2 linked regions of the Nothobranchius furzeri genome follow. The protein of the gene in region 2 binds, or shares a complex with, the protein of the main gene of each other region. Links are inferred from orthologs where the notes say so. Each region holds a gene or a part of one and is shown on either strand. Other genes may lie near its edges.

What was found.
Region 1: the proteins of slc39a7 (region 2) and mettl9 are in contact, whole or in part, in a crystal structure (PDB 8GZE), measured with the Homo sapiens proteins. The link is inferred for Nothobranchius furzeri from reciprocal best matches to the Homo sapiens genes SLC39A7 and METTL9. Residues at the interface, in NP_001070984.1 of Homo sapiens: Gly65, His66, Thr67, His68, Glu69; in NP_057109.3 of Homo sapiens: Arg114, Thr115, Asn118, Arg123, Gly124, Met126, Met179, Asn210, Asp213, Arg214, Val241, His245, Tyr247, Glu249, Trp255, Tyr295, Leu296, Cys297, Glu298, Asp300, Tyr306, Val307, Leu308.

What each region holds. Positions count from the first base shown.
Region 1 is NC_091756.1:2,151,391-2,155,145, forward strand, and holds the start of mettl9 (protein-L-histidine N-pros-methyltransferase), read left to right. Parts: upstream 1-1,443; 5' UTR 1,444-1,543; coding exon 1,544-1,723; intron 1,724-3,388; coding exon 3,389-3,579; intron 3,580-3,651; coding exon 3,652-3,755. UniProt on the Homo sapiens protein: Protein-histidine N-methyltransferase that specifically catalyzes 1-methylhistidine (pros-methylhistidine) methylation of target proteins.
Region 2 is NC_091759.1:22,345,539-22,348,466, forward strand, and holds part of slc39a7 (zinc transporter Slc39a7), read left to right. Parts: intron 1-75; coding exon 76-150; intron 151-222; coding exon 223-351; intron 352-2,222; coding exon 2,223-2,336; intron 2,337-2,534; coding exon 2,535-2,731; intron 2,732-2,928. UniProt on the Homo sapiens protein: Transports Zn(2+) from the endoplasmic reticulum (ER)/Golgi apparatus to the cytosol, playing an essential role in the regulation of cytosolic zinc levels.

The sequences.
Region 1 (3,755 bases), on a different chromosome or scaffold from region 2:
GACCAGGGCAGTTTCTGTGCTGTGGGCTGAACGGAAACCGGACTGGAATTTTTCATACAGATTATGAGTAATGAGATGATTGTGGAGTTGGCGTGCTACAGTTTTTCCAGTATTTTAGCTAAGAACGGTATGTTGGAGATGGGTCTGTAACGGGACAAGATAGCAGCGTTTAGAGAGGGCTTTTTCAGACGGGGACGGACTATTGCAGTTTTGAGGGCTGAGGGAACCTGACCTGAGTGTAATGACTGGTTTATAATTGTAGTGATTAATGGACTGATGACTGTAATATTTGATTTGAACAGTTGTGTCGGGAGAGGGTCAAGGGGGCAGGTTGAGGTATTCATGCTTTTTATTGTTTTCTCCACCTCCGTCTGGGTGGCTGCTGAGAAATCAGAAAAGGTATTTATTGTATGTGGAAGGGTGGAGTCAAACGGATGCCGAACTGTTCGACTGATGGAGGATCGGACTGATGCCACCTTGTTGGTAAAAAAGTCCATGAACCTATTGCATTTATCTATGCTAGTGTCAGTATGTGGATTTGTAGGAGGGCTTAGCCGTGAATTTATGGTGTAGAATAGCTGCTTTGAGTTTCCAGCACTGTTTACGAATTTCTGTGAAAAATATTTTGACCTGGCGGCAGTGAGTGCTCTAGAGTATGTTCTTTGATGGTCCCGGTAGGCCAGTTTATGAACAAGCAACCCCTTGGAGGTAAACAGACGCTCCAGGGCACGGCCATTTGTTTTCATCTTGTGTAGTTCTGTTGTATACCATATACCATTATAGCATAGGAAAACCATATGTGCCTTACCTGGGTGTGAAATTTAATAAAACTGCCTTATTCTGCCCAGCTGTGTGCATCAGGTCTGTTTCTTTTCTAAAATAATGAAAACGGGTGAAAAACTGGTCCAAATCATGATCAGCTTTGACTTAATTATTGATTAAATTATACAAATTGAATCTGATGATGAGAGATGTGCTCTAACTTGTTAACAGCCTTAAACTGTTAAAGTGAAAACATAGGAAAGCCTAATAATTAAGTAATAAGATAACCCCAATAGCAAGGCAACAGATATAAAGTAGTGATAAAATGCAACAAGATTTATTACAAGTTCACATTTGACGTTTTTCAGGTTCTTTTATGAAAGAACCTGAAACTAGTTTGTTGCGAAACAAGAAAGGATGTTTGTTATAGCGATGCGTTCACATTTTCTTCAAAAAACTCCTCAAAATCTGGCTGTAATCTTAAAAACGCTTAGTGCGTGAAAACAGTAGCCAATCGTAGGAGAGCCCTTCCAGCCAATCAGAGGCGAGAATGGCGGGACCTTCCTTGGACACGCGCGCAGGACGCAGCGCGCGCAGGACGCGGAAGTGACTTTTGTTGTGGGCGGAAGCAGACCCGTGAGTTGTTTCTCTGCCCCTCCACGTCCGCTTCAGGTTGGTTGCTTTGTTGTTTTTCACCTCAGACGTGTTGTCTCCACCCGTCTGACTGCTGGTTGGACTTCCTGGACACAGCAGCCTGTCCTGCAAAGACTCTTATGTCCATATGTGTCCCCTGCAGCTGAGGGCGCTGGTTTTTGTGGCCTGGGTGGTGTTTTACATCACCTTCCTGCTGTCCTTCAGGAGGATGTGGAGCGGTAAGTACGTCCGCAGCCCCCTGGTCCGGTCCCTCTTCATGACCATGGTGAGCGACAGCGAGGAGGTTCCGGCGGCTGAGAAGCAGGAGGTAGGGAGGTCTTCCAAGTCCACTGAAGTGAGATGAAACTGCTGTGAAACCCTTAGATAAAATGTCCACAGTTAATGCCATGAAGCTTCATTAAAAACCCTCTTGTAGGTGATTTTAGAATATGGAAGAATGCCTTGCTCTTTTACCAGCTCTCCTCTTGACAAACTCCCATTTATATACATGTATTCTTTGTCTTTCGTCTTATCCCACTTATATCCCCGTATTCTGTTTTTTGCTGTTCATACTTCACTGTTTTTCTTATTTCTAACTGATAATTGACTACAAACCCCGGGATTGCAACCACGTTGGAGCCACTCTATAACATGTTATATTGCTTACATGTTCTGAAATGGCGTCGTCATATCTAAATATGATCAATAAAGTATACAAAGAAAAGGTGGAATTGACCACTTCAAGTTGCCGTAGTGTACTCGTTGTCATTGGCCGTGCTCGAGATGGGCCAGTTCTGCACAGATTAGATTACCGATGATCGGTGTGCAGTGCATGCCGGGTAGATTTGTGTCCGACTTGACGCCGACTTGCACTGATGTCATGCCTACGTAGGCAACGATAACCCCGTGAGATCAAGGCGGTTGCAGATGTTGGAGCCAGGCACTGCAGTTGCTCTCCACTGGTTGCTAAATCTGGCTCTCACCTGATCTAAGATCTGATTGGTTCCCATTCTGATCCGAACATCCGGTGGTAGAATGAGAAATGCTAGTTGGTCACATGTAGTCTGTAAATCATGTTACGTTGACGACGATTGACTACTTCATAGGGGGCCTAAGTCTCCTCCCTTTCCGATCAGCTCATGGGTCCCCGGAAGAACGAAACAGCTATTTTCTAATCCGCTTTGCTTCACGCCCTGGATCACACATGTTTTACTGCAATTTAAATGACGTACTTTGAGATTTATCAGCTTGTAAACGTTCGTAATTAGCATGACTATACACCAGAAATCGGTACGTTGCATATGTGACGTCACCACATAAGCTCCTCCCCCCTAGCATAGCTGCTACTTACCACATGACCAGATTTATGGCGGTTCTTTCCTCCTGTGGGAAGTTTGCTGAACTTACAGCCATTTTCCCTGTTTTCTCCGTGTCCGGTTCGATGACGTCACTTTCGTGAAGCGCATTTGTAGTCCTGGGCTTATTTTCACACAAAACCTAAAGTAACGTTTCCCCCGTTCGAAAATAAATGCGTTCTTGGGATCAAAATGTGTCTTTAAAGTTCACGGACATTACGTGTGAAATCCATGGCACAAAACAAGCAGAATTAGAAAATAGCATTTTTAACCCCATTGACTTGCATTCATTTTTTCATTCTTCCGGGGACCCGTGGTCCAGAGGTAGGGGGCGTGGCTTAGGCTCCCTATTCCCAACACACCGTTTTTTTAATGTTTTGAATTTGTTTTATATTTGAAATTCAATAAAAAGATATTTATTGACTTATTTAATTTATATTGCACACAGTGAGTGTTCAGTTGTCTTTCACAATCAGTGTGCTGCTAAAACGTATATAAATATCGGCCTTAATAATCGGCCATCGGCAACAAAACTCTTTAAAAATCGGCATCGGCCTTACAAGAAACCCCACATTGGTCGGCCTCTAGTCTGTTATTTACATAGAGACAGGTTTGTGACTTTCCATTTCCTTGGCCAGTGGTACCGGTGCTGCTCTAACCTGCTTGGAGAATCAGCACGACACGTTTTCGTTCAGAGTCACCTGGACTCGGACACTGAGGCTTTTCTAAGGCGCAGCAAGGAGAAGTCCAGCTGGCTGTTCACACAGCTCTATCACTCCCTCGTGTCGACGGTCCTCAACCCTCTGGTGTCGCGTACCTCCATCAATGGGTGAGTATGGATCGGGTCTCAATTAATAGCTGCTGTTCCTCCTTGTTCTCCATGTTCTTCTCTTTGTCTCAGGTTTTTGGGTCGGGGATCAATGTTTGTGTTCTCCAAAGACCAGTTTCACCAGCTGCTCCGGATTGGACCCGACTGGAGAGCTGAAAGGCTTCTGGACCTTGGAG
Region 2 (2,928 bases):
GAAACAATAACAGAACTTTTAGTTTGTCTTCTTGAATGATTACGTTTGATTCCTCCCGGTGTGTTTTCCACACAGAACCCCACTCTCATCATGGAGATGAAGGCCACTCGCACGCTAGCGAGCAATCACACGGCCACGGTCACTCCCACGGTACGTAGATGCTTCACAACCAGACCATAAAAACACGGATCAGGATCCTAACCTGACCCTCTCCCTCCACAGGAGCCGCCCACGGTCACATGATGTCTGTAGGTCTGTGGGTTCTCGGTGGGATCATCGCCTTCCTGGCGGTTGAGAAGTTTGTCCGTCTGCTGAAGGGAGGACACAGTCACGGGCATTCTCACTCGCAAGGTACACACACTTTTTTCTGGAAAACTCCTTTTTAAAATAAATCTGATTCAAGTGTTTTTGTCCTAATTTCAGTGTTTAACAGTTAGAATCAACTTTGTGTAAAACTATGAAAAAACAAGGTTTTTATCATTTTGAACAATAATTTATAGTTAGCCCCCCCCCCAATACCTCACATGATCACATGACTACAAACACCTGCTCTCTATGGGATGTTTGGGTTTTTGTTTTGCTGCTGTGGCCCCCAGACTCTGGACCTCTCTCCCCCTGAGCCTGAGATCAGTGGACTCAGTGGTCTCCTTTAAAAAGCAGCTGAAGACTCACTTGTTCAAGCTGGCTTTTGTTTGACCTTCTTCACCTCTCTCTCTTTACACCGAGGACACCGAAGCGCCGGGAGGCGAAGCACTCACGAAATTCGGCCGCTGCTCCTCAGTTCAGACCAGACGCTTGTTTCTCCGCTCCGGTCGAGGCGCGCCTCGTAGTTTCTTTTAACCACTTGGTGTCCTCCATTTCCTCTCCGCCTTTTCTCTGCTCTTTTCCTCGACACCCTAGCCTGGCAAGCCAGACTAAATAAATGTATTATTTAGTCTGGCCACGCTCCATTGACGGCTCTCAGTTGTGGGGCGGGTTCTACCGTTGTCTTTCAAATGATCTCCGCATGCTACTGGACAATGAATGTGACATACTCTTGTTTCACGCTGTTGCATCATCCCACCCACCAGGCATATAGAGTGCCCTGATTGACCCACAAAGCAGATAAAGCTCTGTGATTAGTTCACTAAGCAGATAGAGCACTATGATTGACCCACCATTATGGACCAATCACAGTTCTTTATGTGTTTGAAACCCCTCTAGAGAGCTGTGATTGGCTAGCCAGAGTCCTGGTAGGAGCTGCGGAGGTTCCAATGGAGCGTGCCTAGACCAAACTTTGCAAAGCAAGAATTTGGTCTAGTTCACTAGGCTATCGACACCCCCCTCCCCCTTGCTGTTTGTGTGTGTGTTTGTACGTGTGTGCGTGAACCAATGGTGTGAACCAGTTGTTAATAGCTGGCCTACGACTTTCTGCCGCTCTGTCCTGTTTGCTCTGGTTGAAAGACACCCAAAACCACACACCCTTCACGTGGACACACACACACACACACTCACACACACACACTCACACAAGTTCGCTGTGTGTGTGTGTGTGTTTGTGTGGTTTTTATGCAGTGTCTGTTTACGAACACATTTGACTATTGCGGAATTGTATTTTGAAATGCTTTATTTTGTTAAATTTACCGGCCTGCCTCTCATGTCTAGGTTTGACTTCCTGCCAGAATTGACGCGGTTCACCCGCGGCTCGCGAAAAAAATAGAGCAGACGCTGAAACGATTGCTGCACGGCGCGGGCTGGAACGCCGGCGTGCGGCGCTTCGGCGGCCCATGTGGTCTATAAAATAGGATAACCAGTCCCCGTTTCGCAGAGCTTCGGCGGCCGGTGTGTCCCCAACGTTATTCTGCTCTCCCCACCTATACCACCTTCCTCAGGATCCACTGATTTCCCTCTTTCCTATTCACTCTCTTTCTTAACATTCTTTTTAATCACAATTGTCTATTTTTTGCTCATTTTAAAAATATTTTTAACCATTTTCTAAATTCTTTTTTATATTTTTACATTTTTTGTTTTTGTGAAGCACCTCGTGATTTTTATCTTGAGAGGCGCTATAGAAATGATATTTTCTTCTTCTTCTTGTGTGGCCTCTAAAATAGCTTTAGAGGTGGCTTGCAATCTGTAATTAGGCCAGAAGATGTCGCTAAACTCAACACATCGAACTTGTTAGAGAGTCTTGTTAGGGACTTGTTAGAAATGAGTCTAATTTTCTGCTTTTATTCCATCAGCTGCTCCCAAGGAAAAGGACAGTGATGGAGAGAATGAGAAGGAAAAACAGAAGAAAGAAGAGAAAGGAAATAAAGTTGCAAAAGTGCCCAAAAAAGAGGAGAAAAAGAGCACAGGTGGGCGTGTTTATCGAACATGAAAGAGCTCCATCTACTGGTCAAACCATGAACTGCGTGTTTGTTTGGTGCAACTCGGTGGAAAACGGCTGAATGACCACATTTCTGTTTAATGCAGTTCGAGGAAAAAAAGTATCTTTATTACGTAACAATCCTTTTTTTTGTGACTCAAGTTTTGTTTTGTTTCCTTTAAATCAGACATCAAGGTGTCTGGTTACCTGAACCTGGCAGCCGACTTCACACATAATTTCACAGATGGCTTGGCGATCGGCGCGTCATTTCTAGTCGGACCAGCAGTGGGCGCTGTCACCACCCTGACCATCCTGCTGCATGAGGTCCCTCATGAGATTGGAGACTTTGCCATCCTGGTGCAGTCGGGCTGCACCAAAAGGAAGGTAACCGACGCCTCTGGATGGAAGTTTCTGAAGAACTTTAAAAAAAACAAAACTTAAAAGACTTTTTTTTTTTTTAAGAAAAAATTTAAAACTCACCTCAAAGGATCCAAGTGAAGTGTTTCCCCATTCAACTTTTTCATGTAGGATTTGTTTCATTGAAAGTATTAAAGGGACTTTACGGACTTTTGAATTTTTAT